Linked DNA regions of Macaca fascicularis. The main gene of each other region encodes a partner of the protein of the gene in region 3 in a complex. Links are inferred from orthologs where the notes say so. Each region holds a gene or a part of one and is shown on either strand. Other genes may lie near its edges.

Region 1 (3,281 bases), on a different chromosome or scaffold from region 3:
CCACCCACAGAGGCCCCGGCCAGGCCTTCAGAGGTAGTCCCTCGGCTGCAGAGGCCACACAGCACAAGCCCATGCCCAGGTCCAGTGCCCGTGGCTTTCTTGCCCCTCTGGATCTGACCCTCAGACCTCAGTCAGCCCTAGGAAACACCATGGGAAACAGAGAGGCCAACCGCGCGGCACTCACGTGGCTGCTGGGTTGATGTACTTGCCCACGCCCTGGCGGAAGGTCTGGGGGCCCTGGCTCCCTGCCTCGGGCTGGCTGCTCTTCACTTTGGTCTCCGGGGCTGCCTCGAGCTGTGTCTTCCGCTCCTGGGCGATCTGTGGCACAAGAGGGTGGAGGCTGACCAGCAGCACCTCGGGCAGGACAGATGCTAGGCTTGGGGTGGGAAGGTGCGCTGGCCCAGACCCTCCTGGTGGTGGCATCGTGCCCCCTCACCTGGGCATCAGCCTCCTCATAGGGGTCCACGAACACTGTAGTGGCATCGATGCGGATCTCCTCCTAGCAGCAGAGGGGACTCAGTGCACGGCAGGTCCTCCCCCCGCCTGCCTGGCCCCCAGCCGCCACGCCCCACCTCCCTGGGCACAGACCTTAGGGCGGTCAGTTTTGGGGTCACTCTCCACATTCTCCATGGCTGTCAGTACGTCAAAGCCCCCAACAACACTGCAGCAGGGAGACAGAGGCGGGTCTGCATGTGCTCAAGGAGGGCACCCTCAGGGCCGGGCACCAAGGCATGTGGGAAGAGGGGTTGAGAGCCCCGAGGCTGGCCTGGTGGTCCTCGGGCAGCAGCCAGGAAGGCGATGAGAGGGCGTGGCAAGGGCGGGGTCAGCAGACCATGGCCCTGGGCATATCCAGCTGGGTTTTTTTTCTGGTTCTCTTTTGGTTCCCCACCCACAGGAAAAATAGGAGTCACAAATGTGGCTTGTGCTGTCCCCACTGGTTTGGTAACAGAGTTCCACTTGGCCAGAACCACATCACCTGCATCCACCTTGTTTTGTGCTGCTTCCACACAGTTGGGTGGGCGTCAAGAGACCACGCGGCCCACAATGCTGGAAAGACCCCTGGACTAGAGGGTGAAGGGAGCTGGGCGTGGCCAGGCTTGTGAGTGGCGCGCCATCAGGTCTGAGACAGGGCAGCGGCCAGGCCACGCAGGGGTGTTTCCTCCTCTCCTGAGCCCGGTGGGTCTGGAGAGCCAGACTTCCCTGGCACAGGGAGCACCCTCTGTCCCAGCTCTGCATAGCCTCAACCCCCAGCAGTGACAGCCAGCACGGCACATGGCTCAGGTCCACAGAGAAGGCAGCGAGGAGGCCTCAGGTGGGGAAGGACCCCACCTAGCCCACTGACCCCCAGGCTTCACACAGCCGCTTCCCTTACCGTCCAAAGATGGTGTGCTTCTTATCCAGGTAGGCACAGGAGCGAAACGTGATGAAGCTGGGGAGGAGGGTTGGATGGTTAGGGAGAGCATGGCACCTTCTGCATCTGGCCTGCCTGAGAGCACACCAGGAGCTGCCCACCCTCTACAGTCGGCTCTGGGAACCTGCGGCTTCCGTGGACACGTGGGTGCATGGGGCTCCCTGCTGCTGCCCACCAGGGCAGGTCATCAGCTCCCCAAGGCTGCCCAGGGAACCCCGGACCTCCAGCTGTCCCCAGGTCCTCCTGCTGCCCCGGCTGCTGCCCAGTGCCTGTCAGGGAGTCCCTGTGCCCAGAGCCAGCCTGGTCATGCAGGTCTGTGGGAGGTGGCTGGGACAAGGTGACACCTGGAAAACCAGAGCCAGCCCCGTGCCATCAAGGGACCTGTCGAAGGACTGAGGAGAAAGGAGGCAACAAAGCCAGAGCAGAAATCAAGGGATTCAGAAACGTGGGTAACATAAACATGGACAAAGAAAATGCTCAGGTCATCCAGACACAGTGGCTCACGCCTGTAATCCCAGCACTTTGGCAGGCCGAGGCAGGAAGACCGCTTGAGTCCAGGAGTTGAAGAACAGCTGGGGCAATAGCGTGAACCCTGGAGGCAGAGGTTGCAGTGAGTTGAGATGGCACCACTGCACTCCAGCCTGGGTGACAGAGCGAGTCGCCGTCTTAAAAAAAAAAATTTCCGGCCGGGCGCGGTGGCTCAAGCCTGTAATCCCAGCACTTTGGGAGGCCGAGACAGGCGGATCACGAGGTCAGGAGATCGAGACCATCCTGGCTGACACAGTGAAACCCCGTCTCTACTAAAAAATACAAAAAAACTAGCCGGGCGAGGTGGCGGGCGCCTGTAGTCCCAGCTACTCGGGAGGCTGAGGCAGGAGAATGGCGTAAACCCAGGAGGCAGAGCTTGCAGTGAGCCAAGATCACGCCACTGCACTCCAGCCTGGGCGGCAGAGCGAGACTCTGTCTCAAAAAAAAAAAAAAAGCCGGGCATGGTGGCTCAAGCCTGTAATCCCAGCACTTTGGGAGGCCGAGACGGGCGGATCACGAGGTCAGGAGATCGAGACCATCCTGGCTAACACAATGAAACCCCGTCTCCACTAAAAATACAAAAAAATTAGCCGGGCGTGGTGGCGGCGCCTGTAGTCCCAGCTACTCGGGAGGCTGAGGCAGGAGAATGGCGGGAACCCGGGAGGCGGAGCTTGCAGTGAGCCGAGATCGCGCCACTGCACTCCAGCCTGGGCGACAGAGCGAGACTCCGCCTCAAAAAAAAAAAAAAAAAAAAAAAATTTCCAGGAGGAGCTTGCCTCGGGATGGTTCTTTTACTTTCCTCGTATCTGAGTTTAATTCTGCTTCTAGTTTCCTTCACTGTGTTAGAAATCAGCCAGAGAGAACCACTTGCAGGTCAGAGCGCAGGTCTGCCCCATTGTAGACGTGACATCTGTGGACACTTGTCTGGTGGCCTTGGGGGTGGTCAGACTCGGTGGGCTCAGGATCATGTCCCTGCGTGGCTGGGGGGGTGCATGTTCGATGCAGCGGGGGTTAGGTCCTGTCTCTCACCAGCAGGGTATGTGGGCTGTGCCTGCCTGCACCACCCTGGGGTGCTCCGTGCCACCAGTGCTGGGACCCACCCAGTATCTTCCACTGTATTCCTTTCAGCCTCTCTGGCTCTGCCCTCTGAGGGCTTTTTGAAGGCTCACAGCTGGGGTCTGTCGCGTTCTCATTCATCCCAAAAGTCTTTTTTTTTTTTCCCTTTGAGACGGAGTCTCGCTGTCACCCAGGTTGCAGTGCAGTGGCGCGATCTTGGCTCACTGCAACGTCTGCCTCCCGGGTTCAAGCGATTCTCGTGCCTCAGCCACCCAAGTAGCTGGAA
Region 2 (3,748 bases), on a different chromosome or scaffold from region 3:
AGGGCGTTCCTGAAAGAGGAGGAACGCGTCCATCCTGGCTACAATGCTTGTTTACATATAGGATAAAAAGATTATGGGGAGATGTGCTCTGCTACAAGGGTTTGTGATAAAGGATTAATTTTATTAATTACTATATTTTGCAAGAAGCAATATTATCTTTAAAGCAAAATTAGGAATGCCTGTATTCTCCAGTTATTAGGATATTAGGACACTCCCAAGTCTGGATCTGTTTAGTAAACATTATCTCTCTGTTCCCTTAACCGGAGACATCTAAAGGCTAGGAATATCTAACTTCCTAGGAATGCAGCCTGTCAAGTCCCAGCCTCATTTTCCTAACCTTCAGTGGAGTTGGTCTGGTTCGAACGCCTCTGACATATACCTCAAGTCAGAATTCAGTAAATTGCTGTGCTGTGTTGTGTTGTATTGTATTCTAAGATGGAGTTTCACTCTTGTTGCCCAGGCTGGAGTGCAATGGCGCGATCTCGGCTCACTGCAACCTCCACCTCCCGGGTTCAAGCGATTCTCCTGCCTCAGCCTCCTGAGTAGCTGGGATAACAGGCTCGTGCCACCGCAGCTAATTTCTGTATTTTTAGTAGAGACGGGGTTTCGCCATGTTGACCAGGCTGGTCTCGAATCCTGACTCAGGTGATCCGCCCGCCTCTGCCTCCCAAAGTGCTGGAATTACAGGCGTGAGCCACAGCGCCTGGCCTAAATTCCACACTTTAAACATGTAGTTTGTTGTATGTCAATTATACCTCAATGGAACAGTTCAAACAAGCAAACAAGTTCAAGGCAGGTCCTGAGGTTAGAGCTTTATTAGCTTCATGGTAAATCCGCTCCTACCGGGCATTTGCGTTTTCATGGTACCAAGAACCCTCTTAACAGTAGAATTAGGGCCGTCAAGGGGATGATTTGGGAATGTTGCCTAGTTTTCCTGCGCAGGATTGTCAGCCTCCAAGCCGCGGAGACTGTGGGAAACGACCTCGCGATGGTGGTTTCGAGGCACAAATCTGGGGCCGAATGACAGCTTCTTTTTCTTTTATTTTATTATTTCATTTTGAGACGGAGTTTCGCTCTTGTTGCCTAGGCTGGAGTGCAATGGCGCGATCTTGGCTCACTGCAACCTTCGCCTCCGCCTCCCGGGTTCAAGCGATTCTCCTGCCTCAGCCTCCCAAGTAGCTGGGATTACAGGCATGCGCCACAACGTCTGGCTAATTTTGTATTTTTTAGTAGAGATGTTGTTTCTCCATGTTGGTCATGCTGGTCTTGAACTCCCGACCTCAGGTGATCCACCCGCCTCGGCCTCCCAAAGTGCTGGGATTACAGGCGTGAGCCACCGCGCCCGGCCTGACAACTTTTATCCAGAAAACTGTCGCCAGTAAAGGTTCCTGTGTCAGTAAACTGTAAACGACGGTAGGCCCACAGAAGGTTCTCAGGGGCGGGGAAACCGCTACAGGAACAGCACCGCCCACAAATTTCCTGCAGCGTGATTTGTCCCCAGTGGCGACTCGTAGAGCGTTCGGTGCTCCCTACCAGCCCCTCTCCTGATTGGCCGTGTGCCGCGCGCTCGAGCGTGCCTGGCGCCTGCGCTGGAAGACTCTGCCGATAGTGGCTATGTCCGGCAGGTCTAAGCGGGAGTCTCGCGGTTCCACCCGCGGGAAGCGAGAGTCCGAGTCGCGGGGCAGCTCCGGTCGCGTCAAGCGGGAGCGAGATCGGGAGCGGGAGCCTGAGGCGGCAAGCTCCCGGGGCAGCCCTGTGCGCGTGAAGCGAGAGGTCGAGCCGGCGAGCGTGCGCGAGGCCCAGGCTTCTGTTGTCCCGTTTGTGCGGGTGAAGCGGGAGCGCGAGGTCGATGAGGACTCGGAGCCTGAGCGGGAGGTGCGAGGTGCGCGGGGCCGGGCCGGGCTAGGCGCGAGAGCCTCTTTTTTTCGCGTTCTTTTTTCTTGTCTCTCTAATCTTCCGCCAGGTCCCTGCGCCGCGTTTGGCGGGGGAGGGGTGGGGTTGGCGGGGCAGGGGTGGGGTTTGGGTGGGAGAAGAGGAGGGAACCAGACTCTATGGTTCTGCTGTTCGACTTGTTCTGAAGAAGACAGTATTCATCTCAACCGTATATTATTTATTTTTCTATTTTTCTTTTCTTTTCTTTTTTTTTTTTTTGAGGTGGAGTCTCACTGTGTCACCCAGGATGGAGTGCAGTGGCGCGATCTCGGCTCCTGCAACCTCTGCCTCCCGGGTTCGAACGATTATGCTACCTCAGCCTCCCAAATAGCTGGGATTACAGGCGCCCGACACCACGCCTGGCCAATTTTTTGTATTTTTAGTAGAGAAGGGGTTTCACCGTGTTAGCCAGGATGGTCTTGATCTCCTGACCTCGTGATCCTCCCGCCTCGGCCTCCCAAAGTACTGGGATTACAGGCGTGAGCCACCGTGCCTGGCCAACCGTATGGTATTTCTAACTATAACAGTCATAACAATAGCAGTTTCCCTTCATCGAATGCCTGATGTGGGGGCTCAGTGCTGATTTTACAAGTGTTACTTCCTTCCATTTTAAAAAAGAATTTTTTTTTTTTCTTTTTAAAATAGAAGCAAGTCTTGTTATGTTGCCTAGGCTGGTCTCGAACTCCTGGGCTCAAGTTTTCCACTCGCCTCGGCCTCCCAAAGTGCTGGGATTACAGGCGTGAGCCACTGTGCACGGCTTTCCTTCAGTTTTTACAAAACCTCTAAGGTCTTGTAATTTCTGTAATCAAGATATTCAGAATGCCTGAGCAATAGGCACCTGCTCTAAAATATGAATTATGTAGCGCTTTTTAAGCTGAATAAAGTCTGGAGACAATTCTCCATTAGTCTCTTGAGTTTGTGCACATACTGCGATCATTGCCTGACTGCCTTTGCTCCTAGACTCTCCTTAAGGATGTTCGTGTAGTGGGCAGCCTTGGAAGATAGCAGTGGTGTCTCCCTACAAAACAAGGAGGAGACAAGGGCACAATCCATTATAAAAGATTTGGAGCAGGGTGTGGTGGCTCACACTTGTAATCGCAGCTACTCTATAGGATGAGGTGGAGTTCAAGACTAGGATAGGCAACAGAGTGAGACCTCGTTTAAAAAAATGGTTAATGGTTCAGATTCTCTAAGCTCAGGGTTACTCTCCTGTAAGGCAACTCACTGTGTGCATGGGTTCTCCTCACTTTGCCTTGTAGAAATTCACTTGGGAAACTGATATCAAGGCTATATTCTGGCTACTGTCATTGCTGTAATAAATTGCCCTTCATTTCAGGCCAGGTAGTGACATGCTTTCCATCAGCATTTGTAAAACTGTGACAGGCTAACTTGTTAGCTTGCAAGTAGGGTAAGATCTGAGACCCCCTTAAGTTTTTGACAAGTGGTAGATTTATAGATACACATGTACATTCTTCTTTTTTTTTTTTTTGAGACAGTTTCACTCTTGTTGTCCAGGCTGGAGTGCAATGGCACGATTTCAGCTCACTGCAACCTCCGCCTCCCGGGTTCAAGCGATTCTCCTGTCTCAGCCTCCCAAGCAGCTGGGATTACAGGCGCATGCCACCACACCTGGCTAATTTTTGTATTTTTAGTAGAAACGGAGTTTCATTATATTAGTCAGGCTGGCCTCGAACTCCTGACCTCAGGTGAGCTGCCTGCATCTGCCTCCCAGAGTGCTGGGATTACAGGCATGAGCCACCCACCCCAGCCACTCTTTAAACTATGTAGTACATTGGTGACTGGGCTCGGTGGCTCA
Region 3 (3,748 bases):
TGACAGACATACAGTCAGTTCAATTTCTTCGGCAGATGTGTCTTTCCCCTGAAGGAATGAATTTCCTCAATAACTTTGGTGTTGTGCCTTTAGCATCATTCATTAAAAGACTCATGAATTTCACTTGAAAACTTTCTTTCAGGGCTAAATGATGAGAAATGTTTTGTTTTCTCCAGCAAAGTAGTGTGTTTCCCTTACAGTATTATTATGAATTAAATGTCTGAGCTCTTCTTACTTTAACTACTAGGAATAAAATCTGTGGCTGAATTCTGGTTTAAGTCCATGTCTTGTACCTAGTATATCATAGTATCCTCCCTGGCTTTGACTTTATTTTTTAATTTTGCCGTACATTTGTCAATTTAATTGTATGTATTCTTATTAGTCAGACTAAACCTTTGAGCAATAAGGTGAAGCAAACTAAATGCAATGTTATGACCTTTACAGCTCTTTAGCTTACCTGCATGTTCATGTAGCCATCTACAGATACCAGATAGCCCTTGTACTCCATTCCCCACTTAAGTTTCACCATCACTGGCTTTCCTGTTAGTCCATTGAGGAAAGGTTTGGGATTGAGGGGTAAACTCTGCACAAAGAACAAAAAAGGATCCAATTAATTATTTTTCCTCCCACCACCAACTCTCTTCTACTAAATACCAATATTTTGTGGTATGCAAATGAAGAAAACTCTTGACTCATTATTTTAGTACACAATTTTCACTTTTATTTATTGGAGAGTACCAGGGAAATTTAAATATCCAGTTAGTCAGTATCACCTTTAACCCATCAAAACAAAATACTCACTATTCACTTAAGATAACACCGACTACATACATCACTTACTGTTCTGAGCTCTAAAGAAACAAAGATAAAGGCACTTTAAAAAAAAAAAATGCGGGCCAGAAAGGGTGGCTCATATCTGTAATTCCAGCATTCTGGAAGGCCAAGGCAGGGGGATCACTTGAGGCCAGAATTTCAAGACCAGCCCAGGCAACATAGTGAGACCACCTTCTCTACCAAAAATAGTCAGATGTGGTGGTGCACACCTGTAGTCCCGGCTACTAGGGAACAGAGCAAGACCTTGTCATAAATAAATAACAGAGTCCCTGTCAAGAAGTTGGAGATGGGGAGGGGGGCTCCTCACATACAAATAATTATACTGCATATTGCAACATAATAAGAGGAGATATACTAGGCACAAGGGTACCGAAGCAATCCAGGGAAAAAAGGAAAGGTTGCCTGAAATAAGTTAACCTCAGTTTTAAAGAATGAGAATTTATTTCCAGAGCGGGAAAAAATCCTGTTCCAGGCAAGGCTAGCTACTTATGTAAAAGGAGGGAAGAGTGAAGCAACAAGGTGATTTTGGGGACATACAATTCAGCATTGTCAGTCAAAGTCCCAAATATAAGACTACAGAAGGAAGCAGAGGGCAGATGACGCTTGACAGTCTTTAACTGTGGAAGCTAGGGCTAGGTCCTAAATGACTTTGTCACTAGCACTGCCTCTTATAGAAATCACTTAAAGTTTGTTCAGCAAACCATTAACATCTCCAGTGAATTCGGTTTTTGCCTTTTTCTGCTCACTCACCAGTCAAAGAAAGAACAGAACTAAGAAACTTGGCTACTAACCCCCTCTAACATAAACATATTCGGAGTGACTTGATACGGCGATTACTCCAATAACCTAATGGGTCTCCAGTTTTCATTCTCCAATTTATTATCCACCACAGCAACATGATTTTTTAAAGTGCACATCAAATTGTCATATTTCTGCTTAAAATGATTCAATGGCTTCCAACTCAATCATTTTCAATTGATTTGGAGTACAATCAAAACCTCCCAATACAGCCTAAGAGGTCCTGTCCAACGCCTGCTCCTCCGACACCATCTCGTAACCACTCTTCCTGCAAGTGGCTGTACCTTTTTGTCAATTTCTCCAACTGACCAAGCTTTCTTTCCGGCCGCAGGTCTTATGCGCCTATTCCCTGTGCTCGGTACACTCCTCCTCCTGCTCTTTAAAGGGTCTATTTCATGACACTTAGGCTTCAGGTTAAATTCCACCTCCTAGGGAGGCCATCTCTGACTAAGCCTCTAAATGTCTAACGCGCACCCTCACAGCCTCCTGTCTGCATTCTTCTTAGCACTTATTACTTGCAATTGCATATTTGTTATTTTTTGACTGTCTGTCTTCCCCAACCAACTGAGTTAAACTAGAGCATGGCCGTATCATTACTTTCATGCAATGAAAGTGAATTTTGGAGTGTGGTTAAGTGGGAAGTGCAAATTCTCTTTGAGTTTTACCCCGACCCTGTAGCCACAAACAAGAATATCCCAAGCCCGGATTCAAACAAAGAGGAGAAGGCACGGGTACTCCTAGAAAAAGAAAGGCATCGGGAGGAGCACGCGCCTCAGAAATCCTAAAAGCAGAGTGAAAGAAGCTGGCGACCGGGTGCGCGGCGCCTCACGCGGATGAATGGGAAACGCGCGAAGCAACCACTAGGCCCCGCGAGGTGGTCTCCCTCCTTCTCTTTCTCCCCGCTTCTCCCGCCGTTCTCGTTCTCCTTACCATCGTAACCACGGCCGAATATTGCAGGCTACTCACTGCCGACCAGGCTGCCGCTTGTCCCTCGTGACTACAGCAGGTACCCCAGGTCCCGAGCCGCTGAATTTCAAGAAAAATGGCCGCCAAACAGGAGTGTGACCTTTCACCTCCCACCACGGCCCTTCCTGCCTCTGTGATTGGACGAAAAGAGATGCGCGCTGATTGGAGGAGATGGTTGGACCAGTATCTCCTGGCAACCAGCAGCGGCTTGAGTTTGCGCCTGGCCGGCTGCGCGCGGGTCTTGGGAAACCCGCTCTGAGGAGCAAGGTGAGGCAGCCAAGGACTGGAGGCAGGCCGGTGTTGTAAATGTGCGGTCTGGGAGAGGCTGTGTAACGGATGTGACTTCTCCCCAACTTGGTTAATGGGGATTTTACTTTGTCTTTTTACACCCGTGAGAATGTTCAGGATCCCAGAGTTCCTTCCTCACTCTTCCAACAGGTTCCATGATTTGGGGGCGCCTCTGCCGCAGGCCGTTTCTACCTGAGTATTCTCTCTTCTGCAACACCCATTTCAACCCCTTTTAAAGGACTTCGGGGGTAGCCAGACAAGACTAGGGGCGGTGAAACGCACCGAAGGGAGTCGGATACAGAATTTATTTTAAACGAGGTCAGGTTGTGTCTGGGATATGATGTCATGTCCCCCCACCCCCCACGACCCCGCCGGCCCCATCTTTCTTTTGCATCGCCAGCAGAGACTGGCACGGCCTTCTTACGTGCATTTGAAATTACCTAAGGGCGTAAGCAATATTTCCGCTGTCACGGATTAAAACTTTCGACGTAACGGTGTTATCTGAATCTCACTGGTTTTTGTCGTAATCCTAGTGAGTTCGGCTCACTCTGATCTGAAATGCTAAATGCAGTTCTTGGAGAACACGCCCTTTGGGAAGTAACGCTTTTTTGCGGCCCTGAAGAGATGGATTTGAGGTTGAGGATGAAATGTTGGTTGTTGAGGCACTGTGGAGCAGTGGGCAAGACTTTGGAGAGGGCCTGCATTCGGAACCTGCGTCTATCAGGCGCAGCCGGTGTTGGGCAGTGTCTTAACCCTCAGGGCCACTGTTTCCACGGCAGGAACGCGGCTTTAAAAACGGAACCATCCTCAGCGTGGTTGCGAGAATTTAACCTAAAACGGGGCTTGGCCTTGTAAAAGCTCA

The links.
Region 1: SNRPF (region 3) and PPIL2 share a complex: the UniProt entries of both Homo sapiens proteins name them as parts of the minor spliceosome. The link is inferred for Macaca fascicularis from reciprocal best matches to the Homo sapiens genes SNRPF and PPIL2.
Region 2: SNRPF (region 3) and USP39 share a complex: the UniProt entries of both Homo sapiens proteins name them as parts of the U4/U6-U5 tri-snRNP complex. The link is inferred for Macaca fascicularis from reciprocal best matches to the Homo sapiens genes SNRPF and USP39.

What each region holds. Positions count from the first base shown.
Region 1 is NC_088384.1:31,438,697-31,441,977, forward strand, and holds part of PPIL2 (RING-type E3 ubiquitin-protein ligase PPIL2), read right to left. Parts: intron 1,430-3,281; coding exon 1,373-1,429; intron 662-1,372; coding exon 589-661; intron 500-588; coding exon 437-499; intron 319-436; coding exon 185-318; intron 1-184. UniProt on the Homo sapiens protein: Has a ubiquitin-protein ligase activity acting as an E3 ubiquitin protein ligase or as an ubiquitin-ubiquitin ligase promoting elongation of ubiquitin chains on substrates.
Region 2 is NC_088387.1:35,971,196-35,974,943, reverse strand, and holds the start of USP39 (ubiquitin carboxyl-terminal hydrolase 39), read left to right. Parts: upstream 1-1,582; 5' UTR 1,583-1,614; coding exon 1,615-1,882; intron 1,883-3,748.
Region 3 is NC_088385.1:102,892,182-102,895,929, reverse strand, and holds the start of SNRPF (small nuclear ribonucleoprotein F), read right to left. Parts: upstream 2,688-3,748; 5' UTR 2,566-2,687; coding exon 2,563-2,565; intron 584-2,562; coding exon 458-583; intron 49-457; coding exon of another isoform or gene 1-48. UniProt on the Homo sapiens protein: Plays a role in pre-mRNA splicing as a core component of the spliceosomal U1, U2, U4 and U5 small nuclear ribonucleoproteins (snRNPs), the building blocks of the spliceosome.